Linked DNA regions of Oryctolagus cuniculus. The protein of the gene in region 5 interacts with the protein of the main gene of each other region in a pairwise test. Links are inferred from orthologs where the notes say so. Each region holds a gene or a part of one and is shown on either strand. Other genes may lie near its edges.

What was found.
Region 1: the proteins of TRAF3IP1 (region 5) and SMC3 interact in a two-hybrid assay, tested with the Homo sapiens proteins (2 studies listed by BioGRID and IntAct). The link is inferred for Oryctolagus cuniculus from reciprocal best matches to the Homo sapiens genes TRAF3IP1 and SMC3.
Region 2: the proteins of TRAF3IP1 (region 5) and cyclin-A2 interact in a two-hybrid assay, tested with the Homo sapiens proteins (2 studies listed by BioGRID and IntAct). The link is inferred for Oryctolagus cuniculus from reciprocal best matches to the Homo sapiens genes TRAF3IP1 and CCNA2.
Region 3: the proteins of TRAF3IP1 (region 5) and KIF5A interact in a two-hybrid assay, tested with the Homo sapiens proteins (2 studies listed by IntAct). The link is inferred for Oryctolagus cuniculus from reciprocal best matches to the Homo sapiens genes TRAF3IP1 and KIF5A.
Region 4: the proteins of TRAF3IP1 (region 5) and IFT20 interact in a two-hybrid assay, tested with the Homo sapiens proteins (2 studies listed by IntAct). The link is inferred for Oryctolagus cuniculus from reciprocal best matches to the Homo sapiens genes TRAF3IP1 and IFT20.
Region 6: the proteins of TRAF3IP1 (region 5) and SPTBN1 interact in a two-hybrid assay, tested with the Homo sapiens proteins (2 studies listed by BioGRID and IntAct). The link is inferred for Oryctolagus cuniculus from reciprocal best matches to the Homo sapiens genes TRAF3IP1 and SPTBN1.
Region 7: the proteins of TRAF3IP1 (region 5) and SMC4 interact in a two-hybrid assay, tested with the Homo sapiens proteins (2 studies listed by BioGRID and IntAct). The link is inferred for Oryctolagus cuniculus from reciprocal best matches to the Homo sapiens genes TRAF3IP1 and SMC4.

What each region holds. Positions count from the first base shown.
Region 1 is NC_091446.1:19,683,210-19,687,334, forward strand, and holds part of SMC3 (structural maintenance of chromosomes protein 3), read right to left. Parts: intron 3,717-4,125; coding exon 3,609-3,716; intron 3,124-3,608; coding exon 3,015-3,123; intron 2,450-3,014; coding exon 2,202-2,449; intron 2,115-2,201; coding exon 1,902-2,114; intron 1,662-1,901; coding exon 1,470-1,661; intron 1,317-1,469; coding exon 1,139-1,316; intron 1-1,138. UniProt on the Homo sapiens protein: Central component of cohesin, a complex required for chromosome cohesion during the cell cycle. The cohesin complex may form a large proteinaceous ring within which sister chromatids can be trapped.
Region 2 is NC_091435.1:65,354,837-65,359,304, forward strand, and holds cyclin-A2, read right to left. Parts: upstream 2,827-4,468; coding exon 1,969-2,826; 3' UTR 789-1,968; downstream 1-788. UniProt on the Homo sapiens protein: Cyclin which controls both the G1/S and the G2/M transition phases of the cell cycle. Functions through the formation of specific serine/threonine protein kinase holoenzyme complexes with the cyclin-dependent protein kinases CDK1 or CDK2.
Region 3 is NC_091442.1:60,179,614-60,183,738, forward strand, and holds part of KIF5A (kinesin heavy chain), read left to right. Parts: intron 1-997; coding exon 998-1,204; intron 1,205-1,463; coding exon 1,464-1,610; intron 1,611-2,093; coding exon 2,094-2,282; intron 2,283-2,607; coding exon 2,608-2,725; intron 2,726-3,017; coding exon 3,018-3,082; intron 3,083-3,204; coding exon 3,205-3,314; intron 3,315-3,663; coding exon 3,664-3,765; intron 3,766-4,125. UniProt on the Homo sapiens protein: Microtubule-dependent motor required for slow axonal transport of neurofilament proteins (NFH, NFM and NFL). Can induce formation of neurite-like membrane protrusions in non-neuronal cells in a ZFYVE27-dependent manner.
Region 4 is NC_091448.1:43,884,815-43,889,379, forward strand, and holds the start of IFT20 (intraflagellar transport protein 20 homolog), read right to left. Parts: upstream 2,921-4,565; 5' UTR 2,752-2,920; intron 1-2,751. UniProt on the Homo sapiens protein: Part of intraflagellar transport (IFT) particles involved in ciliary process assembly. May play a role in the trafficking of ciliary membrane proteins from the Golgi complex to the cilium.
Region 5 is NC_091434.1:2,056,706-2,060,830, forward strand, and holds part of TRAF3IP1 (TRAF3-interacting protein 1), read right to left. Parts: coding exon 4,119-4,125; intron 4,037-4,118; coding exon 4,000-4,036; intron 1,249-3,999; coding exon 1,106-1,248; intron 1-1,105.
Region 6 is NC_091433.1:147,999,050-148,003,174, forward strand, and holds part of SPTBN1 (spectrin beta chain, non-erythrocytic 1), read right to left. Parts: intron 3,334-4,125; coding exon 3,187-3,333; intron 2,323-3,186; coding exon 2,059-2,322; intron 189-2,058; coding exon 1-188. UniProt on the Homo sapiens protein: Fodrin, which seems to be involved in secretion, interacts with calmodulin in a calcium-dependent manner and is thus candidate for the calcium-dependent movement of the cytoskeleton at the membrane.
Region 7 is NC_091435.1:120,356,329-120,360,453, forward strand, and holds part of SMC4 (structural maintenance of chromosomes protein 4), read right to left. Parts: intron 4,035-4,125; coding exon 3,843-4,034; intron 2,610-3,842; coding exon 2,433-2,609; intron 2,320-2,432; exon of another isoform or gene 2,260-2,319; intron 2,173-2,259; exon of another isoform or gene 2,108-2,172; intron 793-2,107; exon of another isoform or gene 676-792; intron 1-675. UniProt on the Homo sapiens protein: Central component of the condensin complex, a complex required for conversion of interphase chromatin into mitotic-like condense chromosomes.

The DNA.
Region 1 (4,125 bases), on a different chromosome or scaffold from region 5:
TTTGATTCCCAGCTCTGGCTTCTAACTCCAGCTTCCCACCTGGGAAGCAGTGGTGATGGCTGAGCTAACTGGGTTCTTGCCACCCATGTAGGAGACCTGGACTGCATTCCCATTCCTGGTTCTGGCCCAGACCCAGCCCTGGTCATTGTGGGCATATGGGAACCCACCAACAGAGTCCTCTCTCAAGAAATAAACAAAAATTAAATTTTTGAAAAAGTGACTTTTGTACATAAATTTAACTGGATCAGGGTTTTTACTGATTTAAAAGATCTTTTTTTAATATTTATTTATTTATTTGAAAGAGTTACACAGAAAAGGAAGGAGAGGGAGGGAGGGAGGGAGGGGTCTTCCATCCAATGGTTCACTCCCCAATTGGCTGCAATGGCCAGAGCTGCACCGATCTGAAGCCAGGAGCCAGGAGCTTCCTCTGGGTCTCCAACACAGGTGCAGGGGCCCAAGGACTTGGGCCATCCTCTACTGCTTTCCTAGGCTATAGCAGAGAGCTGGATCAGAAGTGGAGCAGCCGAGACTCAAACTGGTACCCATATGGGATGCCTTCACTGCAGGCGGTGGCCCTACCCACTACACCACAGCGCTGGCCCCAGTTTTTACTGATTTAAAGAATTACGTTGGGGCCAGCGCTGTGGCGCAGCAGGTTAACACCCTGGCCTAAAGCGCTGGCATCCCATATGGGCACCGGTTCAAGACCCATTGCTCCACTTCCAACCCAGCTCTCTGCTATGGCCTGCGAAAGCAGTAGAAAATGGCCCAAGCCCTTGGGCGCCTGCACCTACGTGGGAGACCCGGAAGAAGCTCCTGGCTCCGGATCAGCACAGCTCTGGCCGTTGGGACCAACTGGGGAGTGAATCATCAAATGGAAGACCTCTCTCTCTCTCTCTCTCTGCCTCTCCTCTCTCTGTGTAACTCTTTCAAATAAATAAATAAATCTTAAAACAAAAACAAAAACAAAAACAAAAAAACAGAATTACACCTATTTCTCATACAAAACTAAACTTTGTTAAACTATTTAACAAATACTATTAAATACTACTAAAAGAGAAATTATTTACTCACTATATTCCCAGACAACAGGTGAACTATCATCTTTTCAGGACTAACTACAAAACCCACATTGTACCTGACACAGCCTTTCTGTGCTGAGCATCCAGAGCCTGGTCGATCTCATCAAACAAGTAAAAAGGAGCTGGGTCACATTTCTGGATGGCAAAAATCAGAGCAAGGGCTACCAGGGATTTCTGTCCACCTGAAAGCTGCTGCATTTCTCTCATTTCACCTTGTTTTCCTGTAAATGACACCTAAAAAAAACGTGTTATGCATTTGTATCTTAGAGAAAAAAAATCACTATTATCTCTTAAGTCGCCTACAGTGTGCCAATTTAATTTGCAAAAGATCCACCGAATTCTGCCACGGTGATATTCTAAAGAAAACAGAAAGTAAAGGTACTTTACCCTGATTCCAACACCAGTGAACTGATCAACTGATGGGACACTGCTTTGTGACCCAGAACCCCTCTCACTTTCACCACTCCCTTCTCCTTCATCCTGAGACTGACTGCCTTCCACGTCTCCTTTCTTCATCACCAAAGTAGCTTTGCCTCCAGGCACTAACTTCTGGAATACTTCACTAAAGTTCTTGGATACCTTAAAAACAAAACAAAACAAAACCCTGTCAGCTGAAATATAAATTTTGCTTAAAACAATTATTTTAAAGCAATCAGAAGTGTTTTTTAATCTTAAAAACAGAAATGAAATATTGGATCCTTTCAAGAGCCTGTGTTGGGTCTATTCTCTGTGTCAGTGGGTGGGAAGCTTTACAAATTGAGTAACAGCTGAGTCTTGGCTCTGTGTGCCTGTGCATTTTAACTGTAAGCAGAAACACACCTGCTTGAAAGTTAACTGAATAGCTTCGTATTTTCGAAGTTCAAGTACATTCATCAGTTCCATGATTGATTTGTACCCCCTATCCAACTCTTCTTGTCGCTTTATTAACTTTTCTTTCTGCTCAGAAAAGTTTACAAACTGATCCAAAGCTTTTTTGTTAACATGGCTGTACTTCTTTAATTCTGTGTTGCACTGCTCAAGTTTTCGAAACAACTATAAGGAGAAAAAAAAAAGTATAAATAAATTCACATACAGGGAGATTTGCAATGAGACTTCAAATTTAAAGCCAGTAAGATTTACCTGTTTGAGGCTCAGTGTCTGGTACTTTTCAAATGCTTCCTGGGGTAATGATCCTAGTTCTCGAATTTTCTTCATACACTCTTCTTTCTTCTTCAGTAGCATGCCCTGTCGATTTGTCATCTTTTCCAGTTCTTTAGTGTCATGATTTATAGCATCCATGTGTTCTTTTTCCATATTTTTCCAGCGTTCCATACTCTTCTGAAGCTCCTTAATTCCAGCTTCTGTTTTATCAATGGAATTGTCCAAATCTAAGGTGGGGAAAAAACAAAATTAGGCTATAAAATCTATTTTAAAGCCCAAATGTTATTTGAGCAAAGATTTTATTTTAATGGCCAAGTTTACCAAACTATATAGGTGTTAGGTTTTTTTCCAGTGTTTGTTTAAATTTTGCTGTGAAAATACATAAACTACTTAGGACAAAATTGGGCTTGTAAATCAGTCACTCCAATATAGTTTTTATTATTTTAATACTTGTTTATATAAAAAACTAAGAAATTGATTTTCTTCTCAGCAACTAAGTGACAAGAACCTTAATGAAAGCACTTTTTATCTTTTTCCCATAATATTTTACTTTATAGTTTCTAATAAAAATGTCACAAACACCTCAATAAAACAAGTAACTATTTGTTACTATTTATAATCAACCTAAACACCACTCACCATAAATTGTTTATAAATAACACAAGACACAAAAACTTATTAGCACATGCTTTTTGCCTCTTAAGGTATTTCATTTTGTAGTAAAGCAATCTCACAAAACAAATAAGGCTAACTGTAAATAATCAAAAACATTTTTACTACATAAAAATTCACCTTCTGATCGTGCCATGGTATCTTTTACTCTTTTATTGATGGCTTCAAGTTCTGATGTTGTGGCTGTAAGGACAGTACCCCCTTCTGTCTCTCTCAGTTCATTAAGTTCCTAAACACAAAAGGACCTATGAACATTAGCATTAAATCAAGTGAAACAAATTTTGTTAACTTCAAAATGGTATGTCTGCTAACAGTTTCTACAGCTGTTATATTTGAATCCAACAAAATCAAAAATACATGAATACAATGGAGTAGGAAGATTAATACTAGAAAATTTCTCAGCATCTGAGTACTACTGAGAAAATATTATTAATTAGCATTTACTGAGCACTTAGAATGTGCCATGATAGTGACCATGCAAAACAGGTACTAACACTAATGCAGACTTTATTTACATAAGAAACACTGGCTTAGAAATAATAAGTGAGAATCGCCCAAAACTGCACACTAGGTGGCAGTGCTAGAACTCCAATCTAGGTCCCTTAGGTCAGTCAGTTATGTTTCTGTCCCCAAAGCCTATGCTTTCAGTCTCTCATATAACCACTTTCAAATGGGTTACGATCATCAAGGAACCCCTAAAAAGGAACAACGTACCTGTTCTACTTGGTCCAAGCGTTTTCTCAGATTCTCATTGAGGTAAGTCTCTACTCGAGTAATAATACCTTCTAATTTAATTCTTTCATTTAGCAACTGCCTATTTTCCTAGAATTTAGAAAGGGAAATTAGTTGTCTAAATAAGCATGCACATTTCACACACAGAAACACAGTTAGTCTATTGTCTTTTCTATTACTTGTCCTCAAAAGTACTGAAATGGGGTTTTATATTCTATTCCCTCCCAAAAAAGCCCCACATTTTCTCTTATCCAGATTTTCAAATTTTTGTGCCTGATTCTTTTTGTGAAGTATGCACATAAAATGGTTTTCTTTTCCTTCTTCCTCTATTTTTGGACTCAATGTTGTTCATATCTAGAAAAATCAAATGTTATGGAGCTGGAGCTGTGGCGAAGCACATTAAAGCCCTGGTCTGCAGCACAAGCATCCCATATAGGTTCCAGTTCAAGTACTGGCTGCTCCACTGCAGATCCGGGTCCCTGCAAATGTGCCTGGAAAA
Region 2 (4,468 bases), on a different chromosome or scaffold from region 5:
GGCTGTCACCTGAATTATTTTTCTCCTATAACGAAGGTGGCATTAATCTTTGCTTTTCAGATTTCTTCTATTTTGTGCTTTTCAGAGTTTGACTATTTATATACTTTTTTTGTGGATTTCTTTGGGATTTGCTGTTTGCAATCTGCTCAGCTTTTAGAATTTGTAAACTTATGTTTTCTTGATAAATTTGGGGATTTTTCAACTATTATTTATTTTATTATATTTTAAGCTCCCCTCCTTCCAGGATATTATGAATGCTATGGATATTATATCTTTTGCTATGGTTTCAAATTTTCCTATTATTTTTTCTTTTATATTTTTGTTAAAATTGGTTCTTTTTTTTCCTAAAATATTTATTCATTTATTTATTCTATTGGCAGAGTGACAGAGAGAGTGAGTCTCCCTCTCTCTGTGTCTCTCTCTCTCTCAGATCTACACACACACACACACCCACACACACAGCAAGAGCAAGAAATATATATAGGGATCTTTCATCCACTAGTTTATTCATCAAATGGTCAAAATATTCAGAGTTGGGCTAGGGCAAAGCCAGGAGCCAGGAATTCATCATGTTTTCCAATGGGTGGCAGGTACCTAAGTCCTTGGGTCATCATCCACTGCATTCCTAGGAACATTAACAGGGAGCTGGATTGGAAGAACAGCAGCTGGAACTTGAACCTACACTTTGATATGAGATGCTAGCATTGTAAGTTGTCGCTTAATATGTTGTGCCACAATGCTAGTTCCATGTAGGTAATTTTTCTATTGATTTGTTTTCCAATTCACTATTTTTTTTTTAAGGTAACAAGTTTTTGGTTTATTTCAAACATGTACATGTAACTTAAGAGTTTGAGGCTTGCTCTCTGGTTTGACTCTCATCTTACAGAACTGTTATACACAGACATCCCTTTTTCATCAGCTATTATGTGTTTTTTTCACCCTGTAATTAATAAAAATTAGCACCTAACTCTCTATTAAACTATTTTTGGATACCTTTCAGGGTTACTGTATTTACTTTTCCTGCTGTCACATTTTGTACCCTAGTGCAAAAAAATAAAAGACCTCCTATTTCAGTGATCCAAAACTTAAGCATAATTAAGTGAACTGTTAATTTATTTTACTTTATCCGCAGAACACAGACCACCATTGGGAAACAAGAAAAAGCACCAAGTAAAAAGCCAATGAAAAAGAGAAAAAAGAAGAGAGCTGCTAATTAAAGCTAACATAGTTGTATATTTGTATATATAACTATTAGATGTATTTATTCAGTGCTAACAACCTGGGTATCATTTATTCACAAATCCCTAAGTTTTATTTTTTTAACATTAAAGTGAATGTTCTAGAGCTTTTTCTCTGAAAATTTTGTCATCTCAAAGCCTTATTCCCCAACCTGTGTATGTGTAAAGTGTAAAAATTGATGAGGAATAAAATAATCTGATAGGCTGCTGTGTGTGTACAAAGAAGAATGATTTTCATCGTACTGGTAAATAAGCACAGATTTATTGTGCAGAAATCGGCAGACTGATCCAGTTGCTTAGGAAAATGGATATTAGAACATTGAGGGTCTGTTTTCCTAAAGTCAACTTTTTAGAGAGTGGCTTTCCACTCCCCACTGTACTGTATAAGCCAGGTAACTTTTCTAAGAAATCTTGAAGTCAGGTTTTTATCTCAAATTAAATTTGACTTATAAAATTTTCCAAATCAATTTATTAATTCTTAATATCCTGACAGCTGGCATCATTAATACTTTTAACAAAACCACTTAAAATTAGCCAAATATCTATGATAGATACATGTACAAAAGATATACAAATTAAAACCATTTAAAAAGTAATAGATACCATAATTTGTTCTTGTCCATAACTTCTGTATTCAGAAATGATTGTAACATTCAAAACCCAAGATAAAAACTGTACACAATATACTTTGAGTGATTTACATCTTAGAAACAAATGCAGTCTTTCACTGTTAGACATTTAGTGTCTCTGGTGGGTTGAGGAGGGAAACACCATGATACTTTGAATTTTTGTACTTTTCTCTTATTGATTGTTGTGCATGCTGTGGTGCTTTGAGGTAGGTCTGGTGAAGGTCCATGAGACAAGGCTTAAGAGTCTCCAGAGTGTATCCAGTCTTTCGTACTAATGATTCAGGCCAGCTTTGTCCCGTGACTGTGTAGAGTGCTAAATGAAATGCTGCTCCAGCAATAACTGATGGCAGATACTTTAGGTATGGGTCAGCATCTATCAAACTTAATTCTCCCAAAAACATTGCTAAACTTTCGACTTTGCAGTTTGCAGGCTGCTGATGTAGAAAGTATTGGGTAAGAAACTGATTTACCGTTGGTGCAGCTAAGTCAAAAGCAAGGACTTTCAAAACTAGATGCTCCATTCTCAGAACTTGTTTCTTTGTATAGGTATCATCTGTAATGTATACAAACTCTGCTACTTCTGGTGGGTATATTTCTTCAAATTTTGAGGCTAGCAGCATAGCAGCAGTGCCCACAAGCTGAAGCTTTCCTCTCAACACAGACATTGAAGAAAGAAACCTATCGATGTAGTTCACCGCCAAATGCAGAGTCTCATTCTGTAGTTTATATTCCTCTCCTACTTCAACTAACCAGTCCACGAGGATAGCCCTCATACTGTTAGTGATGTCAGGCTGTTTCTTCATGTAACCCACTTTAGGTTTACATTTAACCTCCATTTCCCTAAGATATGTGTGAATATCCTCATGGTAGTCTGGGACTTCATTAACACTCACTGGCTTTTCATCTTCTAATACAATTGACATGTCCATAGTATATGGTGACTCGAAACTACCATCCATTGGCTAATCAAGAGGTACCAGTGGTTTTCTTTGTCCAGGTAAAGTGATGGCTGAATTAAAAGCCAGGACATCTTCAGGCTTGTCTTTTTTAGATTCCGTGGGCCTCTTGGGAGGCTCCTCTTCTGCTTCATCCACATGAATGGTGAATGCAGGCTGTTTACTGTTTGCTTTCCAAGGAGGAACAGAGACCTGCTCATCATTTATAGGAAGATCCTTAAGAGGTGCAACCCGTCGCGTCGTGGGCCTCTGTTGTGGAACTGGACCCCGGGAGTTCCCAGCCTTCAGTACCACCAGAGCAGCCTGGGCCCGCGGCTGCTGGGCGTGCACCGCCTTCTCGGGGTTGATGTTCTCCTGGTCCTCTAGGAGCGCCGAGCCCGCCTCGCCGGCCGCGGGCTTCGGCACGTTGTGGCCCAACATCGTTGCTCCAGGGAGCTGGCGGCGGGATCAGTCTGCCGAGCCAAGCAGCGTGCACACTCCGCCCAGTCGACCAGCGGCGCCGATCCCGCCCAGGAACGCTCCAGCCGTAGCCCCTCGCCGCAGCCCGGGCCAGTCTGCCAGCCCTCCCGCTCGCTCCCCTGTCTCCGGAACGCGCAGGATCGAGGAGGTTGCGAGAGGCGCAGGCAAACGCTGCCGGGCGCGGAGGGCAAAAAAAAATCCAATTCACTATTGCTTCCTCTTTCTCTCCCATTCCACTGTTGAGCCCATTCATGGAGTTTTCAAAATATTAGTTATTGAATATTTTATTTCAAAATATATTTTCTTCTTTATATATTCTTTTCTTTGGCTAAAACTTTATGTTTTTTATATTTGTTCCAAGTATATTCATGATTATTGTGGAAGTATTTTTATTGTAGAGTCTACAAAATCCTTGTTAGACAACCCTGAGTGTCAACATCTTTAGATCATGTTTTCTCACTCTAATTGAGAATAGCCTAGTTTTCCTTTTAACATAAGTGATTATTAAAATTAAATTCTTGATATATTAGTGATTAATATTGTGAGACATTTGATCTCATTTAAATATTTGATATGGCAGGATCCTATGACGCTACTCCAATGGGGAAAGGACATCATCTTATTATCAGCAGCTTGGCCTCCATTGACACTGGGGAAGGGGTACTCTTTATAAGTGTGGGGCAGTAGTAGAAGACAAGACTCTCCACTATGTACCTACTAATACTACTCAGGCTGGATGTGGAAGAATTGCCTCATTACTGATCCCCATGTGGCTTCTCTGACACTTTCAGGGGATGGTTTGCCTTGTTACTTTTAAGATTAGCTGAAGTCGTAACTCTGTATTTGGTCTTCTCGGACATCCATCCAGCAGGGAAGGAGAGGGGCACCTCAAAATCTCCATGTCATACCAGGGGATTCCAATTCAATCCCATCAAGGTGGCATGTGCCAATGCCATCTCGCTATTCCAGGTGATCAATTTCAGTTCACAATTGATCATAATGAAAGGACTGAGAGTCAAGGGGAGCACATGGGCAAGTCTAGTATCTGCTGACACCAACCGATAGAATGGATAAAGGGGAGAGTGGTCCAGCATGGGAAGTGAGATGCTCAGCAGACTCATAGAATGGCGGATGTCCTAAATAGCACTCTGGCCTCAGAATCAGCCCTGAAGGCACTCGGATCTGG
Region 3 (4,125 bases), on a different chromosome or scaffold from region 5:
TGGTCCTCATTAGCAGGAGGCTGGAGTCAGCAGCTGGAGCTGGGAATCGAACCCCAGTGTGGGACGTAGGTCTCCCTACTTGTAAACACCCTCCCCTGAGAAGGCCTTTATAGAATCAGATGGCAGGGGGTCGGTGAGTTGCGGTGTAGCAGGTAAAGCCACTGCCTCCAACACCAGCACCTCACATGAGTGCCATTTCAAGTCGTGGCTGCACTACTTCCTGTCTAGCTCCCTGCTATGGTCTGGGAAAGCAGCAGAAGATGGCCCAAGTGCTTGGGCCCCTGCCATCCACCTGGGAAACCAAATGAAGCCATTTGGGAAATGAACCAGTGGATGGTTCTCTCTCTGTGTGTCTCTCCCTCTCTCTCTAATTCTGCCTTTCAAATAAAATAAATAACAACAACAAAAAAATTGGAGGGCTGGCGCCATGGCTTACTTGGTTAATCCTCCACCTGCGGCTCCAGCATCCCATATGGGCACCGGATTCTAGTCCTGGTTGCTCCTCTTCCAGTCCAGCTCTCTGCTGTGGCCTGGGAAGGCAGTGGAGGATGACCCGGGTGCTTGGGCCCCTGTACCCACATGAGAGACTGGGAGGAAGCACCTGGCTCCTGGCTTTGGATCGGCACAGCACGCCGGCCATAGCGGCCATTTAGGGGGGTGAACCAACGGAAGGAAGACCTTTCTCTCTGTCTCGCTCTCACTGTCTAACTCTGCCTGTCAAAAAAAAAAAAAAAAAAAAAATCGGATGGAGGAAGTGGCATTCTGCCTGGGGGCTGGTCACCCCCCAAAACTTAACAGAAGTCTAGGAAGTGCTTTGGGGCTTTTCTGAAAGCTCAGAGTTGGAGTCTGGGTGCTTCTTCATTCTGTTGCTGTGGAGCCTAAAACCCACTCCCTCCAACTTACGCTTTGGGTCGGGGGCTCATCTTCCCCAGCCTGTGGGGCTGTGGGGACAGTCGCCAGCAGGTGCTCTCTCACACGCCCTTCCTCTCCCGTGCAGCTGCTGGTGTCCACTCGAGGGGACAACGAGAAGGTGCAGCGGGAGCTGAGCCACCTGCAGTCAGAGAACGATGCCGCCAAGGAGGAGGTGAAGGAAGTGTTGCAGGCCCTGGAGGAGCTGGCCGTGAACTACGACCAGAAGTCCCAGGAGGTGGAGGAGAAGAGCCAGCAGAACCAGCTGCTGGTGGACGAGCTGTCTCAGAAGGTGGTGAGTGGCCTGCTCGTGGCCCGAGTGCTCCTGGCCTCGGACATCCTCCATGTTCCCCGGGGGGCTGGGCAGTAGGGTGTTGGCACCCATCCTGCCCCTGCACTTTGCCCTTCTGCCCCTTGTATTCCACACCCTTCTGTAGGGCCTGTGTCCTCTCTGTGGCGGCCCTGAGGGTCACGCACGAAGTGATAGGCCTCCGCCTGGGCCAGGGAGGGGAGTGGGAATGGCAGTGGCAGTGACCAGAGGGGCTGTTCCCCAGGCCACGATGCTGTCCCTGGAGTCTGAGTTGCAGCGACTCCAGGAGGTCAGTGGGCACCAGCGCAAACGAATTGCCGAGGTGCTGAATGGGCTGATGAAGGACCTGAGTGAGTTCAGCGTCATCGTGGGCAACGGGGAAATCAAGCTGGTGAGTGGGGAGACCCAGCAGTCCTGGTCAGGCCCTGGTGGGATGTGCAGGGTGGCCCAATCCAGACCCTCGGGGATACTGGGGAGGGGGGTGCAGAGAGCCAGGGGACACACCTTCACACTAGACCCAGAAAACAGCAAGAGGTTTGCACAGACTCAGGCAACAGGACACATTGCGGAGGTACCAAGTGCAGAAGCAATGGAGATGTACGTAGAATTTAGCAGTGGGGGCACAGTGCTGTGGAAGTGAGACACTGTTTCGCCTACCAAAGAAAATCATCATACATGATGAGATGGGAGCGGGGAGTGTGGCCCTTGGTTCTTTCAACGCAGGTGGAGGGATTTAGTGCAAATTGCCAGGAGAGCTGCTGCAGGGGGTTCACCTGTCCACCTGAGTCCCCAAGTGTGTGAGGGGCTGGGCGGAAGGCGGGAGGGATGCCTGGGACCCCCCTGCAGCTGGTCTTCCTCTTCTGCCCGTCCCCAGCCAGTGGAGATCAGCGGGGCCATCGAGGAGGAGTTCACGGTGGCACGGCTCTACATCAGCAAAATCAAATCGGAGGTTAAGTCCGTGGTGAAGCGGTGCCGGCAGCTGGAGAACCTGCAGGTGGAATGTCATCGCAAGATGGAGGTGACTGGGCGCGAGCTGTCGTCCTGCCAGCTCCTCATCTCCCAGGTAAGCGCCTGAGCTGAGAACCCTGGGGAACATGGCTATTGTGCGGTTGTGGATAAAGCTCCCAGCGCCCTCCTGAAGGTCAAGGTCAGCTGAGATCAGGGACAGAGGAGCTGGGGTGCCAGTGGGGAGAATTCAGCCAAACAAAGGCTCTGATCCGAGAGGGTCCAACAGAGTCCCCATAGGAATGACGCCCGACCTGCAGCGTCCTGGAAGGCGTGTGGTGGGGGAGGACTGGGGAGAATGGGAGTTGACAGGTATGCACCAGCTCGGAGTTGTGTCCCCAGCTCCAGCCATCTTCTTTCTCTTCCCACCCCTCTCCTCCCAGCATGAGGCCAAGATCCGCTCGCTTACAGAATACATGCAGAGTGTGGAGCTGAAGAAGCGGCACCTGGAGGAGTCCTACGACTCCCTGAGTGACGAGCTGGCCAAGCTGCAGGCCCAGGGTGAGGCCTTCCTCAACTCCGTCCCACCTGTCCTGGCATCTGAGATCCCCCAGGGAAAGTCCCAGACGTCCCCAAAACACCAGCCTGACAGTCCCCCAGAGCCTTAGCCTGAAACCACGGGTGCAGACTCTTGCTAAGAGCCCAGCCAGGCCTTTGCACGTGGCCCATGCACACGAACCATAAACCCTGGGCCTGCCCAGAACAGCCCATCCCCTGCCCAGCCTGAGCTTTGGTCACCACCTGTGGGTCTATCTGGAGGAGATGGGTTTGGTATGAGCTGTCTTTCTCATAGAAACTGTGCATGAGGTGGCCCTGAAGGACAAGGAGCCAGACACCCAGGATGCGGATGAAGTGAAGGTGAGTGCGGGGCTGGGGCTGGGGCCGGGGCTGGGGCCGGGGCCGAGGGTGGCGCAGGAGCAGAGACTTCATGGGGGTGCCTTGGGAGTCCGGCTTTGAGCCTGGAGTGGGGTTATTTGCAGAAGGCTCTGGAGGTGCAGATGGAGAGTCACCGGGAGGCCCATCACCGGCAGCTGGCCCGGCTCCGGGACGAGATCAATGAGAAGCAAAAGACCATTGATGAACTCAAAGAGTAAGGTTCCCGTGGGTGGCCCCAGTCTCCCCCAGGTCCTCCCGTCCTGCGGGGCGCGCTCAGCTGCCCTTCCGGATCTGGTTCTTCCACTCCCACGTGTCGTTCCGTCCACCGTGACACAGCTTTGCAGCCCAGCTGTATCAGGAGATACAGAAGTATGGACTGCTCCCTCCCCTTGAGGCCTGACTGATTGGCGAGCTCAGGGCTGTTTGCTGTGTCACAGAAGCAGTGGCCTGCATTGATGCATCCATTCCAAGTGGCTTCCCTCCTGCAAGGAGGAGAGTGCTTGAAGAGCTTTCTTCCCTTTCCTGCGCGTGAACCTCTGCTTTTCTCCCCGCGGCCCTCACAGCCTGAATCAGAAGCTGCAGCTGGAGCTGGAGAAGCTGCAGGCCGACTATGAGAAGCTGAAGAGCGAAGAGCACGAGAAGAGCGCCAAGCTGCAGGAGCTGACGTGAGTGATGCTCACCCGCGCCCAGCGGGCCCACAGAGGCGGGACGCCTGGGCACCTGGCACACATGGCCACCCACAGGTCAGGGAGGGGCCAAGGAGACTCAGAAGCGACCTGAGTAGTAGCCGGAAGAGGCCTGTGGGTTCTGTTAACTGTGAAAAGCTGGTGTAAGAGCAGTCTGGTATGACCCCATAAAAACCTGCACGTGGGTGCAGGGCCCCAAGGACTTGCTTCATCTTCCACTTCTTTCCCAGGCACATTAGCAGGGAGATGGATTGGAAGTGAAGCAACTGGGACTTGAACCGGTGCTCATACGGGATGCTGGTGTCACAGGCGGCTGCTTAACCCACTACACCATGACAC
Region 4 (4,565 bases), on a different chromosome or scaffold from region 5:
GGTGGCAGGGACTCCGATACGTGAGCCGTCACCTCTGCCTCCCAGGGTGCACATCGGCAGAAACCTCGGTCGGAAGCAGAGTGGCTGAGTCCAGAACCAGGTGCTAGATGCGCGATGCAGGCGTCCCAAGTGGTGGCCTGGCCACCACACCGACGCCTGCCCGTTTTTAAACACTTCAGAGTTTCCTTAACAGCAGACTTCTGTAGACCATCTGTCATCCAGCCTGCTCTGTCGCACTTACACACAGAGTGTGACAGCCAGCAGGCGATTCATCAGACCAGCTGCTGCGAGAGCTTCAAGTGGCGGGAAGGAGCAAACACGCCTCAGCTCCTGTCCCCTGCGCCGACAGCAACTCTACAGCGCCTGCTCTGGGGCAGGGCAGTGAAGGAAACGTCTCTGGACTGCAAACCAAGGACCCCGCACCCTGGTAACGGGGTGAGCAGACGCTGGGCTGGGTGTGCAGCTGCAGCAGAGGAGGAGCGCGGAATTCAGAGGGCCCTGTAGGCGAAGGCCTTCGGAAAAAGTCACAGCGAGACCTACAGGACGCCCAAAACTCCGCTGAGAGCAGTGGGCAAGGAGGTAGCTCAAGCAGCGGAAAAGCTCAGGGGCCGGCGCTGTGGCGCAGCAGGTTAGAGACCCGGCCTCAGCGCCAGCATCCCACGTGGGTGCCCATGTGAGTCCCGGCTGCTCCACTTCCGATCCAGCTCTCTGCTATGGCCTGAGAGAGCAGCGGGAGATGGCCCAAGTCCTTGGGCCCCTGCACCCAAGTGGGGGACCCAGTGGAAGCTCCTGGCTTCAGCCTGGCCCAGCTCTGGCCATTGCAGACATTTGGGGAGTGACCAGAGGTGGAAGATCTGTCTCTACCCCTCTAGCTCTTTCAAATAAATAAATATTAAAAAGGAAAAGTTTATGTACGAGTCCTGAGACAAAAGAAATCTGATGCATTCCAAGGACTGAAGGCCAGTGTGGCTGACAGGTGAACAAGACGGAGAGTGGGACAGGGAGACCACTCGGGGAGCTGGCACTGAACTGCAATAATGTCTTTTTTTTTTTTTAACCTGTCAACATATGTTTTATTTATTTATTTGAAAGGCAGAGTTACAGAAAGACAAAGGCAGAGAGAGAGAGAGAGAGAGAGAGAGAGGTCTTCCATCTGCTGGTTCACTCTACAAATGGCCACAACGGCCGGAGCTGGGCCAATCCGAAGCCAAGAGCTTCTTCCGGGTCTCCCACATGGGTGCAGGAGCCCAAAGACTTGGGCCATCTTTTACTGCTTTCCCAGGCCACAGCAGGGAGCTAGATCAGAAGTGGAACAGCCAGGTCTTGAACTGGCGCCCTTATGGATGCCGGCTCTGCAGGCGGCGGCTTACCCGCTATGCCACAGCACCAGCCCCACAATAACGTCTTAACAGTAAGGAGCAGCCAGCAGATTCTCAGCAGAGTGACACAATCATTGGGAAAGACCACTCTGGGGGCCAGCATTGTGACACACTGGGTGATGTCAGCATCCCTTATCAGTGCCAGTTCAAGTCCCAGCTGCTCCTCTTCCGATCCAGCTCCCTGCTAATGGGCCTAGGAAAGCCCCTGCATCCACATGGGAGACCAGGATGGAGTCCCAGGCTCCTAGCTTTGGCCTGGCCCAGCCCCACTGTTGCAATCATTTGGGGGGTGATCCAGCATAGCAAAGATTCTCTAACTCTACCTTTCAAACAAACAAATCTTTTTTTTAAAATAATCACTCTGGGGGCTAGCACTGTGGCACAGTAGGCTAAGCCGCTGCCTGCAGTGCCAGCATCCCTTTTGGGCGCCGGTTTGAGTCCTGGCTGCTCCACTTCTGATCCAGCTCTCTGCTATGGCCTGGGAAAGCAGTGGAAGATGGCCCAAGTGCTTGGGCCCCTGCACCCGTGTGGGAGACCTGGAAGAAGCTCCTGGCTCCGGATCGGCGCAGCTCCGGCCGTTGCAGTCATCTGGGGAGTGAACCAGCAGATGGAAGACCCCTCTCTCTGTTTGTAACTCTACCTCTCAAATAAATCTTAAAAATAAATAAAAAACCACTCTGCCTCAGAAGACCAGGAAGGCGAGCACACCTACTGTGTTCATCACTGCAACCCTAGCACCCAGCACGGTGCCTGCACAGTCGGCACTCCGTGGACATCTGTGGGATGACCAGTGGCTGTGCAAGCAGCCGGAGGCCACTACAGCAGCCCAGCACCTGGAGGCCGGCGTTCTGGGTTGAGATGTTTCTGTAAGTCGATTTGCTAGGACTTAGAGGGGCTTGACTGGAGGAGGGGATGAGTGAAGCGGTCGGGCATGAATCCCTTGCACCTGGGAGGGGTAGCTGAATGAGTCACCTGAGACGGGAGAAGGGTTGAAGGAGAGGCTTCCCAGCTGCCCATCAGATTCCATCCCAATTCCCACTACACGCGGCGGAGCGCCGGGGTGAGGGCGGAAACGCCTCACCACGATCCATGCTTGGCATCAGGCACAGGCCCCGTTCCTGGGGTTGGAGGAAGCACGAGGCTGAGTCCGGAGGGCCTGACACTGTCTTTACTGCGCAAACCCGTTGGATTTACACGAGTCCCCGCTTCCTAAGACCACGCTCAAGCTCCAGGCCCAACCTGAGTGTGAAACGCTCGCGAAGGGACGGGCGGAATTCCTAAGTTTCTTTCAGCCTGGAACAGCCTTTCCTCAACAGCGGGTCTGTCCAGTTCCTCTAGACCCAGCTGCCCCCGACCCGAGGTCACGACCTACCTGCCCACCCGTAGCGGTGGTGCGCTGCGGCCCAGGCTGATGTTGACAGGCAGCTCCTCTCGGCGGTGGGCAGCAGTCAGTGCCTGGCCGGCTCGCCTCTCCTCAGCCGCTGCCACGGCTACAAAACCTGTTTATCCACAACGTCACTTCCGGACACCGGAAGCACTCACACCCGTTCATCCTACAGGGCCTGCTGGGAAACAGAGGCCCGAAGGGAAGGATGACTGCCTACAAGATCCAGAGGCCTTTGCGCCTGCAGGGCTACCGGAAGTGGCTATGCTCTTGCCCGGAAGATCCTCCGGGAATTTCCGCCTCCCCTCCCTGTTAGAGTGCTGTGCATGCCGGGCTTTGTAGTCTCAGGCTTATGGCCCGCTGCTCCGGGAGGAGTCGACCGGCGCAGGATGTGAGCTCACAGCTCGGGATTGCTGGCGGGCAGGCAGCCACAGGTCAGAGACGGCACGGAGTTCGCTCGCCCCCCAGCTGAGAGGAGAGGAGCCCCCGGCGACGGTGAGAGTCGGGCCTCGGCTGGAGCAAAGACTGCCCGCCGGGTCCTGGGAAGCAGGGGTGGGACGGCGCAGCGGAGATGCAGAGCTGGTCTCGGTTCCTTGGTAGTGAGGGGGGCGGGCTGGGCAAGAGCCTACGCTGGCCACGGGAGAGGCTGGCCGTGGCCGAATTTCTCCAGGACCTTGCAGCCTAAGCCTCACACCTAGGATTTCTGCTGGGTCCACCCTCTATAGCCAAGATCAGCTCACGGCTTCCCCAACACCCACCCGCCCCCGGCCCCCCGTGCGTGACGGGTTTCTAGATCCTTCTTCCTTTGGGATCCAACCGCGGTCCACCGCTTTGGTTGTCTGCCTTTTGTTCGCAGAGTGGGAAATGGATCCGCCCCTAGCCCCAGGCATCCCCAAATACCCACAAAGTCCGGAAGGAAGAGTATTGAGTGGAAACTTCATTGTCGCTGGAATTACTTTCTGGGGCGGCACCTGCCGCAGGATTCCTGGAACTCATTGGTCTGAATGGAATCTGAGCTGACGTCAGCCAGGAACAGTTGCTTTGCAGGAAAGGAATAGATTAGCTGTGGATTTGTCTTCCTCTCCTGGCAAACCGCAGGCTTTCAGTACCTTTGCTTTGGGAGAAAATGCATGTGTTTTCTTTGACCTTGTTAAAAACTTTTCCTGGGTGGACTGATTGGTTTGGAGTCGGTGGGAGGTTAGGTCATCCGCTGTCCCAGTGGAGGTCTCGGCAGACTCCTGTTGAGGGCTTTTCTCATCCACACCGCATGCCTGCACAGTTCATCACTTCACAGGACACCCACTCTGGCCCTTTTGGGACATTCTTCCCAGGGACCTGCCTAAATCTTTTCAGGGACAATTTCAATCTGACGAACTGCCATGGACTTCAAAAGGTTCGTGGGAAGTCAAATTAAGAAAAATTTATTTTGGTGGAGAAAACATCTTGAAATCCATGTATAAAAGTGCAGGCCAGTGTGCAGAAAGACCGCGTGCGGAGTGGAGCGGCACAACTGGGGACACCAGTGCCATTTGTGGGCTGCACTTGGCGAGGCACACCGTCAGCTCCCGCGTGTGAGCATGGAGGGAGAGGATTCTGCCTTTTCTCTGCCTCTGTTCCCCCTGTGCTCCAAGTCTTCACCACTTTATGCCTGCACTACTGCTTCCTCTGGTCCTCCCACGGCCTCTGCACCCTTACAATCCATTCTCTACACCGCACCCAGAAGTATGGTTGCGATTATCTCACTCACCTGCTTAGAACCCTCCAGTGGATTCCTGCACTGCACTGCACTTGAAATAAAGCCC
Region 5 (4,125 bases):
GTGCAGGCGTCTGCAACTTCTGTGTAAACAAATGCATAGAACCTCATATATCTGTGTAAACAAATGCATAGAACCTCATATATAAAACTGGAATTTGTGGCTGACAAAGCAAACTAGCCAAGAAACTTCCTGCTCTTCATCCAAAGTGACTGAAGACAAGCCTCCCCTGGCACCCGAGGCACCCCCCCCCCGCGGGCACTGCCGCACGTCTGTAAGGAGGCCCCAGGAGCCAGGCACAAGCAGAGCACCCGCTGGACAGCCAGCTCACACAACGCCTGGCGTCTCGCAGGCAGCCCGGTCCCGCCTTCTACAAGCAGAGCCTGGGAGCAGGGGCGGCCAAGGCTGCAGGGAGCGGACGCAGCAGACCAGGCCCGTGGCTCTGAGCTCCTGAAGCAGCCACTGCCCCCACCTCTGGCCTAGGACATGGAAACAGCCCCCACCCCAGAGAGGGCCTGCCCGGCACTTCCTATCCCGGGGAGGGGTGGCCTAGGACACAGACTTCCCCCACAGAGAGGGCCTGCCCGGCACTTCTATCCCGGGGACGGGTGGCACTTGTTTCTATCCCGGGGAGGGGTGGCCTAGGACATGGAAACAGCCCCCACCCCAGAAAGGGCCTGCCCGGCACTTCCTATCCCGAGGAGGGGTGGCCTAGGACACAGACTTCCCCCCCCAGAAAGGGCCTGCCCGGCACTTCTATCCCGGGGAGGGGTGGCCTAGGACACAGACATGCCCCCCCCCCCAAGAGAGGGCCTGCCCGGCACTTCTATCCTGGGGAGGGGTGACCTAGGACACAGATACCCCCCCCCCAAGAGAGGGCCTGCCCGGCACTTCTATCCCGGGGAGGGGTGGCCTAGGACACAGATACCCCCCCAAGAAAGGGCCTGCCCGGCACTTCTATCCCGGGGAGGGGTGGCCTAGGACACAGACTCCCCCCCCCCCCCAAGAAAGGGCCTGCCCGGCACTTCCTATCCCGGGGAGGGGTGGCCTAGGACACAGACTCCCCCCCCCCAAGAAAGGGCCTGCCCAGCACTTCGTATCCCGGGGAGGGGTGGCACTTGTTCCTATCCCGGGGAGGGGTGGCACTGCACCTGTGAACAGGCATTACCGGTCGGTTTCCCAGGGCGAGCTCGGAGCAGGCTGCGCCCTCACCAGCACACGCAGGACCCCGTACCTTCTCTCCGGCTCTGGGGGGCTGCTGTAGCTTCTCATAATCTTTCTTCGTCTCCAAGATTTTTTTCACAAGTCCACCTGTTGAAAACAATCACGTTACAGTTTATTCACTAAGAAGCTGTTTTAATGGGGGAGAGTGGCAGAAATGCTGAATTAGTACCCTTTTTCTATACTGGAAAGTTTATTTTCTTTTTTTTTTTTTTTTTATTTGACAGGCAGAGTTAGACAGTGAGAGAGAGAGACAGAGAGAAAGGTCTTCCTTCCGTTGGTTCATCCCCCAAATGGCCACCACGGCCGGCGCACCGCGCTGATCCGCTGGCAGGAGCCAGGTGCTTCTCCTGGTCTCCCATGGGGTGCAGGGCCCAAGCACTTGGGCCATCCTCCACTGCACTCCCAGGCCACAGCAGAGAGCTGGCCTGGAAGAGGGGCAACTGGGACAGAATCCGGCGCCCCGACCGGGACTAGAACCCGGTGCCCATATGGGATGCTGGCGCCACAGGTGGAGGATTAACTAAGTGAGCCACGCGCTGGCCTGAAAAGTTTCAAATAATCTTTCCATTTGACAAAAGACAGCCTCCAACAGAACAGCCAACAGCTGCTGGAGGAGACGCTGCAGGGAAACAGGCTCCTCGCGATTCCTTTCCTCGTGCCCGGAGGAGCAAAGCTGGCTGCCGGGACCCAGCGCAGGGCCGTCCCGAGCGTGCTGAGCACCGGTCCTCCTCTTCAACCCGGCACGGCGCCAGCGCCTTTGTTAGGCGGGGTAAACATCGCATGCAAAATCACTTTCTCAAGACACCGCTCCACCCACGCACGCGCCAACACCAGCCTGGCTGCATCACTGCAGAGCCACGTGCGGCCGCGAGACAGGACGGCCGGTGCCCCATCTGCTTCACAAAGCACCGGCAAAGACAGTCATTGAAAATGAAGCAGGGTGGCCACGAGGGCACGTGAGCACACGCACCCGCACGCACCCATGTCATTAAGGAATGGAGCAGAGGCCACACTCTGGGCTCTCACACAGGTGAGACGGCCGTGTTGTGTACATTTGACCCTAAAACCACGCGTACGTGTCATATACCCACACACAAAATTAAAAGCACCAATGCCCAGAAACTGAAAGCAAGATAAACAATAATACCAAATTGGCCAGCACACACCAATAGAGAGTTATTTCATAACTTTAAAACAGAGTAATGCTTTGTACATCCCCAGTGCAATACACCCTAAAGACAAAAAGACAAACAGACGCACAGCACAAATCTGAAGCATTATCAGTCACCTGCTGGCACAACGCGCTGGCAGTGGCGGGCGGAACTGCCTGGTGCACGTTGTCAGGTACATTAGACCAACAGCCGAGGCTGCTGGGAGCAGACAGAGACACAGGTGCAAAGCCAGGAACACAGGCAAAACCCTGCCTTGCTACACTGTACGAGCTCAAGACACATTATATGCATACATGTATGTCTGTGATGTCTATGTGCACACACACACACGTGTCTACATTCTGGGTTCACACAGTGAAAATTTCCAGAAACAACGACCAACCCAGGGGCAGCAAATACATAGTGAGCCTGAACCGTCCTGTGCTATCAGAAAACAAGGACGCTACGTCTACTGCATGTGCCACACGGTCCCCACAAGGTAACGCAAGTGGGCTCCCGCTGTTAACACTAGGCAGGCTGAACACCAGTTAAGAAAAGCTGAGATAGAATGAGACAAAACACATCTAACTAGTTAAAATCCATGGCCTCAAATACTTGTAGACAAAAACAAACCAACAAAAACCACCCAGAGCCCTGCTAGGGGCCAGGGACAGTCACTCAGGGGAGGGGAGGGGAGGGAAGAGGCAGCCAGCGGTTCCTGCCTCTGCTGCAGGGGCTGTGCCTGGGGGAGGGGGAGGGACCCAGGGTCTCTGCTCTCCAACCCTCCAAGAATAAACAGCCCTGGGCCAAGGCCACGGGCAGAGTCCCACACGGTGACCACAGCACTGTCCAGCACTGTCCGAGATGCACTCCCGCCACACCCGGACTGCAAGCCTCCTTATTTCCACTGCTGTGGCTGAGTGTCCTTGGTCCCCTCCGAGGCTCCCGCGCTGGGAGCCCGATCCCAGCGTGACACCGGCGGGAGTGAGGAGGCGTAGGAGGTGGGGTCTAGAGGGAGATCCAGGGTCACCCGGGGGTGAGCTCTCAGGTGGCTTGAGATTCTTACAAAGCCTGAGGGCCCTGGACTTCCGCCACACACACACACACACACACACACGCCTGCCATCACGCCATGTTTCCACTTTCAGCACCCAAAGTGGAAGCTAAAAAGCTCCTTCCCAGTAGCCTGCCTTCCGTATTTCCATTCAGTGACAAAAAGCTGATCAAGAACTGGCAGGACACAGAGAAGAAAACGGGCAAAGACACCAGAGAGATGATGAGCAGCACCCAACGGGGAGAGAGTCAAGGGCAAGCCGGCCAATGCTTCCTGTGTGAACACAGCACCGGGGAGAGGGCTACAGGCTGAGAGATGGGCGAGTCGCATGAACCAGCTGCAACGAAGGGCCTTCTTTGAATCCTGACTCACACAGACACACCAGGAAAGCAAACAGCCCACCTGGGAAAACCAGGCACTTGATGACACTAAGGGATTAAGGTTAAGTTCTTCGACACACACGATGGGTGTCTGGATGCGGCCACTTCCAGTCCAGGAGTCCAGGCCAGCACCGCCCACCAGCTGTTGGCCTGCTTCCGACCAGAGCCTGGCACACAGCTGCAGGTGCACTGCGGGAGGCACTGCACATGCACACGCATGCACACGCATGCACACACGTGCATCAGAACTCACCATGCTTCTCGTCTTCCTCAAGTTCTGTTGCTGGTACCTGAGCAGGAGAGGAAGAAAAGAAGATTCAGGTTTGCCGAATTCTCAAGATCAGGTTCCCAGGCCCCTGCTGCGGCACTCACCATCTCC
Region 6 (4,125 bases), on a different chromosome or scaffold from region 5:
TCTTTGGAGGCCAGCAGGTTATGCTTCCGTTCGTTCAAGGGCTCCAACAACTCCATGAACTTGGTTTGCACGGTGAGGCGCTTGCTGTCCACCTCGTCGGTGCTCTTCCCCTCCTGACTCAGGGCCTGCGCCTGGGTCTGGAGCTCCTCGATCTCCTTCTTCCGCACTTCCATCTGATTCTCCAGCATCTGAGGGTCAAAAAGAGACCACCCTTCACATGGGAGCCAGGGGAACACACAGTCCTAGGAAACGCTGGTTTTGGGCAAGGGCCCCAGTGGAAGATCCAACATGAATGTGCATAGCAGAGAGCCCAAGAAACGGATTTAACATCCATCAAACTATCAATCAGCAATGCCAGCTTCTTTGTCAGATTTTTAAAATATCCCTTCCTAGGATTTTTAAATGTAGGAGTAATGTTCAAGTTTATGCAGGAACCTGAGGAGGGAAAGAAAAGGGGAAAAGTAACTGACCATGAGAAAAAACAGGTATTCACTCGCCTGTTCGGAAGCCAGTCTCATCATCAGAAAGCAGGGCAGTCGAGGGGCCAGATGTTTTAGGCAAGGAAGATAGCTACGGTTTCATCTGCCCTCCCTCTCTTTGCTCAGAAAGCTGATTCTCTCCCCCTCCCCAAGCCCCATGATGGATACTCAGCTGTGTGAGGAAAGTGAGAGCAGAGACATCTCAGTCAGGAAACAGCACCCGAGAAGACCACATACTGACAGCTTAGAGACAAGGGGACCCGCATCACAGCTAGAAGAGGTCAACAGCCACGATTAAAAGCCACAGAGAGAAGAAAACTCCCTGATGCACAGTAACTTGAGCAGAATAAACACACCATCTAGCACAAGGAAGGGTGAGCGTCACCCAGATGAAGAAAGAACCTTGGTGTCCGGTGATTCGTTCTGGGTGGAACTGCTGGCTGCAGAAGGAAGCCACACACCGTGAAGCTAGCAAGAGGAGCCACAGGAAGACTCGGCCATCAACCTGCTTTCCCAACCTGGACAGAGCTGTCTTCTCACAAATTTGAGGTAAATTCATTTGCCCATTCACATTCAATCCCATTCACAATAGCTACAAAAACAACCAAATATCTTGGAATAAACTTAACCAAGGACGTTAAAGATCTCTACGATGAAAATTACAAAACCTTAAAGAAAGAAAGAGAAGAGGATACCAAGAAATGGAAAAATCTTCCATGCTCATGGATTGGAAGAATCAATATCATCAAAATGTCCATTCTCCCAAAAGCAATTTACAGATTCAATGCAATACCAATCAAGATACCGAAGACCTTCTTCTCAGATCTGGAAAAAATGGTGCTGAAATTTATATGGAGGCACAAGAGACCTCGAATAGCTAAAGCAATCTTGTACAACAAAAACAAAGCCGGAGGCATCACAATACCAGATTTCAGGACATACTACAGGGCAGTTGTAATCAAAACAGCATGGTACTGGTACAGAAACAGATGGATAGACCAATGGAACAGAATTGAAACACCAGAAATCAACCCAAACATCTACAGCCAACTTATATTTGATCAAGGATCTAAAACTAATTCCTGGAGCAAGGACAGTCTATTCAATAAATGGTGCTGGGAAAATTGGATTTCCACGTGCAGAATCATGAAGCAAGACCCCTACCTTACACCTTGCCCTTACGGCTTTCTAATGTGACATAAAAAACCTTATGTGATTATCTATATATAGAGTACCTTAAACAACTCAGGCAACTGTCACATATCCAGATGCTATACAAAAGTAGACAAAAGTGATTATCTCTCTGTGTGTAAAACGCAGGACTGAATGAAAGTAATATTTACTCAACTGTTAATAACACTCATGAATGAAGAAGATGCCCAATTCTACTAACACTGTCCTTTAAGCTGATGTTGAAAACGGCCCCATGAGGCTGTCAGAACAGCATTTTGCTGGGTATTAACATCTCTTCCTGTGGAAGGCAATGGCTGAGAACACAGTGGGTGACCAAAAGTAACGAAGACAAAGGCTGTGAAACAGACCCAGGCCTGGGGACGTGGCTGTCCCACAGCACACTTGCCTGTTGTTTTTTCAGCAGGATGTTGACACTGGTCAGGTCTTTGCCATAGTCGTCAGATTGGATCTGACTCTCCAAGCCATGCAGCCATTTGTCTAGATCTGCACAGCTCTGGGTGAAGAGTTCAGCCTTGTTGGCATCAAAGAGCCGCTGGGCCTTGGTCTGGGTGGTGGACTCAAGGACTTCCCACATTTTATGTAGACTGGTGAGCTTCTCTTTGACCACGGCTTCCGTCTCGGGCTTCTCTGAAATGAGCTGCATTCCTTCCTAGAGAACACAAACCAGCGTGGTTCTAAATAAACAGAATTTGCTGGAGAACAAATGTCACTGAAAAACAAGGCTAAGACATCTGATCTGCGATTTACCCTTTCATTCAACACACACACCCACCCCACTCACAGTCATTCCACATTAGGATACTGTGCACATTAGTATAGGTTGTGGGGGAGGAAACACAGCGCTGCAGGCTGAAACAACTGGAGCAATGGGAGACTTGGAGCCAATAACCTAAGACTTCATCTCATTCATTCCATGCCTCAGCGATCAAACATAACGCATTATTTTCCCCATTCAGAGCCTGAAACAATATCAGAGGTGTGAAGGGAGAGGAGGGAGGGTGGTAACTTTTACGCCGTTGGGTTATACAGCAGAGAATCTATTTCTTGTGCTGAAATAACAGGTTTCAACAGTTAATACAGATCTGGTCTATATAGTCAAACAAGAAAAACAGATTTTAAGTATATATTTTAAAATTCTCTGCAGCTCTATCCGATAAAGCTGTCACAGTACGACACAGGTTAATATGATCAATATGGTGGTGACCCTCCTTGGTGGGGACTCTTGGTCTGTCAGCTCAACAGCAGATGAGGTGCACAACACAGACTAAAATGCTTGGCATTCACTTAAAGAAAAGCCAACCATTTTGCAACACCTGCTTGGGTTTTTGCTTTTCTCCCTTCTAGTGGGTTGAAGTCAGGACCTGGTAGGTCAAAGTGGGACTGCTACTGGCTGCAGAACTTCTGTAAAGCATCAGGTAAGACGCAAACAAGCTGGAATATGTGCTACACGCGGGAGTTTTCTCATCGCAGCCACAAAATGGGAATGGGGACTTTCTTGAAACATTTAACCCACCTTCTCAATTTTGTCAAGCCATTCTTTGTTGGATGCAAGTTCTGCCATAAATGCTTGATGTTTTAACCATTTACTGTGCAGATTTCTGGCTTCATCGTATGACATATCCTGGGCTGTCAGCATCTTTTCATTGATCCAGAGAGATAGCTATAAAACAAAAGATCAGGAAGGATTCAGATACTGTGATCACAAACCACTGTTTTTTTCCTCTGCTGAAAAAAGGGACTATGTGTGCGTCATGAGTTTCCATGGCAACACAAAACCAAATATGTAACTTTACAACTTTCACCCATCATGAGGGGTACCCATTATGCAAAAGTTGTACCAGGGCTTTGCTTTGCAATGTGCATGTTATGCTCTGCCCCAAAGTACAAAAGCTCTTTGAATCTGCTTTCAAGCTGTTGGCCATTCCTACCCAGCTATACCACAAAGGCTTGCATTTAAAATTCTCCTCTAACCAGCCCAAGTCACTACCTCTTTCCCTTCCAGATACCTTTGTTGTCTATGCCACTGTGTTAAAACATGACTGACTCTCATCTTGTGTGGTGATCTTGTTGCTCTTCCGACTTTCTATTAGAAAACGAATCCATTCACTCATTTAACTACCTCCCTGCTTCCTGGCTCCAACTGTGGGGAGGCCAAAATGCACCAGTCACGCTCACAATAGGGCTCAGTCAACAATCATGCCCTCTTCACGGTTCTTCTGTCACCTTCGCCTTTCTGTCTACAGCCTCCAGCCTGCTGAAGACCCTTTCACTGAGACTGAGAACACTCCACAGGAGTTAACTTTGAGACTCAACATGTCCACTTGGATCTGAACTCTGGAAAGCCACACAAAACCTTCCAGCCATGACAGATCTGAGGAAGGAGTTTTCTTAGGAGGCTTAGAGGTAAGGAGTCAGCCAAACTCCAGGCCGTGGACCTTTTATTGGCTTTCCT
Region 7 (4,125 bases), on a different chromosome or scaffold from region 5:
ATCCAATCTCCTAATTATGAAATTAAAAAAGAATAAAAAAAAAACCCCTAGTTTAAAATTTAACTTAGATTTTGTAATATTAAGACAAAAAGAAGAGTTGAAAACTGCCAAAACTGAAGCTGTGCTAATAACAGTTCTCAAGTGTTTACAATTGCACTAAAACCAGTTAAACTAATAATTTAAGTTAGATACCTGTGAAATGCTACAGAGCTAGTAAAACTATTTGTTTGAATCAATTTATAATAGGACAAAGGCTCCCAAATAAGGCATATATAAATGGGAAAATGTGCGAACATGGAAAATAACAATGGTCTATCAAAATCTAACGCCTTTTGAAGTTATGTCTAATGTCCCTAACGACAAGAAATAGAGTTTAGCCATCTTTAAATTACTCATAGTATCTTAGCATAGTGCCTCATTAGGAACGAATGAAATTTCAAATGGATTCAAATAGTAGAAAAGCCTATTTGAAAAACCTAGTAAACAAATATATAAAATAATGTTAATCACTATCATGGTCCAAATAGTCTATAAATTTTATTCAAGGTAATAATTTATGTCTGGGATGGTAGCAGTGACATTTTCTACAATTTTCCAGCCTTCTCAATCAGATAATTTAAAAGATAAATATCATCCAATATGAAACAAGGTAATAAGAACCACATTCTTACTTACCTTCAAATGCTTTAAACCTCTACATAAGTGTCTAAGATTTTGGTGAGAAATTATTTAACAAATCCACAGAAACCACTGCCACTTTGCTCAAACTTTTAATAGGGCAACATTAATTCTATCTAGTCCAATCTGTTTCTTCTTCCTAACAGATAATTCCTAAGGTTGTTTTCTGTAAATTTAATACAATCAAATTAAATCTGTGTCACTCTTAAAGTTTACCTAGATATTATTTAGGATGAAATATTTTTAACCATTTAATTAAGATCACCTAAAGGTTCAGATTATCACAATGACAAGGTATCTTAAAGATCATTCTAATTACCTTTGGGAAATTATTACATTATTAGTTCCCTTTATTATTGAATCACATATAGAGAGATTGCATGAAATAAAAAAAATTTGGTAAAATGGTTAAAATGCTGTTGTAAGTAAGCAAAAGACAATTTCCTACAAAATGGTATAAAATTTAGTATATTATATAGGGACATAACTTTTTAATATTTAATTAACCAAACCAAGTCCCAGAATATTAAAATCTATAAAGCAGTTCAATTTCATTAAAAAAAACACAAAACCATCCTTTAATTCCACATTTACATAAATTCAAAGTTTTTCCAGAATGACAAGAGTTGTCTTATTTGTTATAAAAGCCTGAAAGTTTTATTTCTACAAACATATTTTAAGAATAAAAACTAAAATGAAAATAGGGATTAAATTCTACAAATTTCTTACTGTGAACACTCATTCTAACAAAACTTTTAGTATCTAATCAAAATTTTCACCTTATTTTAAAACCAGTAGCATATGACACTATAAGGTATTAACAGTAATTTCTACATCAAAAAATAATTTTGGTTTTATTATCATGCTCTTAGTTATGCTGGAAAGGACATAGGAAAATGAGATACTCTTAATTTTTAAATGTCTGAGAAGTTATGGTGATATACTAAAAAATATTTTTGGTTCAAAGTTAAGACACAGGAAAACAGAAAGGGTTTTTCTAATCAAGCAATGCTGGTAAAATATACCATTACTTCAATACAGGATTTCTAATAAAAATCAACAGAATTATCAAGTACTTAATTTTACACTTTTTAAAAAGACTTGTTCTGTAAGAGTTGTGATACTTAAGAATATAATGTTAAGGTTTCCTTCTAATTGACCAATAGTAGTTCAAGAAAACAGGCTACTCTACACAAAAAACAATTTGAACAAACTTTTAGTTAACCAGTATCCATTCTAAGTGTTAAGATGACTACATCTGTTAGGTGCTCATGTAAATTTGTCAAACAGTAGTGTAATTTTTTTTTTTGCTATATATTAGAAGAGAAAAAAAAGAGGACTACTAAAAGAGAATAAAACTCATTTAAAATGTTATTTTAAAGGGAAATACAAACAGAAGTGTTAAATAGTTGTTATATCCCTGTCACGCTAAAGCAGCACAATAATATTGGTGTTTAATATTTATTTCACTACGCCAATATTTACGTGCTGCTAGAGCGGAACAAGTCAGTCAGTCCATCTAAACATAAAATGAGCATCAGATGATAAAAATCCAGTTTTGAGTGTGTTTCCTTAAATTTCTAGAGCAGCAAATTATGATTCGCATCTTGACTATATTATGTAAACCATGATGTGCTGCTACAGTACTTTAAGGCCTCAAAACACAGGATTCATCCAACAGGGGAAACCTCTCTGGCATTGTTGGGGGGGAAAAAGTAATAAGAAAGACCTTCTGAAGTCTTTAATAATCTCACCTGCAAGATTAAAAATCTATTATGGTCCAAGTCAATTCCATGGCTTCGAAGAAGATTTCCAACATCCTTAAAGGTCTTTTTCTTCCCACTTATATGATAGACAGAAGTATTATCTCTGTAGGCCGTTCTGGATACATAAAAGTTACTGTTAGGAATGACTTCATAATCATCTCCTTCCTGTTTTGAGGAAAAACAAAACCAGAAAACAAGTGTTGGTATTAAGTCACAGGTCTGCTTCAAATTTCACTCAGTTCATACGGAAATGAATACTGTGGATTAAAAACTTCACTGAATATGCTTACAAACTGGCAGCAATTCTCAGAAATAACCTTGCTTGGCAAAGAACACTTTTCCAAGTTGGCACCTTTCTCAAAGATCACAAAAACCAAAAAGTAAAGAGACCAACCAAAAAACCCATCCCCAAACAAACCTAAAATCGTATTTGAAGAGCTGATGGACAAGAATCCCATCACACCCAAAACAAACTCACCCATCTAATTAAATCATGTTGACAGATTTAATCAAAGGTAAAGAGAACAACCATAAAGAATCAATAATTCCTGATTTAATACTAAAACTCACATTCCCTGACCGTAAAAGCTCTGCTATACTGAAGCTTTGTTTTAAAAATATAGATGAATCAAAGCTAATAGCAATAGAATAACATCTGATTTACTGGCAATCTATTTTCTAATCCAAATTACTCAACAAAATGTATTAATAAACTAGATGCTTCTGTGCAACTAAAGCCCTTCATGCTAAAAAAAAAAAAAAAAAGCCCAGAAACCAAGTCATTTCCCCAATTTCACTATACGTGTTGTTTTATTTTTGAGCTCTATTTAATCAGTTTTGATTCACGAATTTCCTAAAATTATTCATTAAACAGAAAAGAAAAAAAAAAAAATCAACAGAATCAAATAGTTCCAACCAAAGAAAAGCTCATCATATCACAGACATAGAAAACCACAAATAAACTAACCTCAGTGTGCACTGAAATAATGGTGTTGGTAAAAATAACTCAACCATAAAAATTTTCAAGTTTAGTAAATTTATTCTAAGCAATTAAAAATATAACTTTTAAAATTTGAGCTCAAATTTATAGTAAAAGAATGCCTATTTAGCACTCAGTATCCTAAAACTGCTCAATGTTTTGTCCAGAAAGTGTAAGGATTACTATGAGCTATTTATACTTCATTTCTCCGGCTAAAAAATTTATTAACAGGAACCCCTACTCCTCAAAAAGAAAAAAATCGTTACACAGTTAATTAAAATTACCATCTCTTTTGCTTTAGTTAAAATTTTTAAAAGCTGATTTAAGCCAAAAACAATCAAATGTGCAAAGTATTGAAGTTTTCTTCTCTGTTTTCCTTACTTGAAGCTGCAAATAACCGAATAGCAGAAGCCCCTTACCTTATCAATTATCTTTTGAAAATGAACTTCTACAGTACAACTCTGAATATCCTTGTGTTCATCAGAATTATGTATTAGTACTGAGAGTTTTTTAGACCTTATTTTTTGTGCTCGATAACCAAACACAAAAAGCATGGAATCAATAACATTGGATTTGCCACTGCCATTTGGCCCAATAATACAGGAAAAGCGCTGTATAAAAAGAAAAGAAAAATTTAGACGGTCATATTAACACTAATTTTGTTTTCGCTTTTATTTGCCGTAAAAATTTTCATTATTAGAA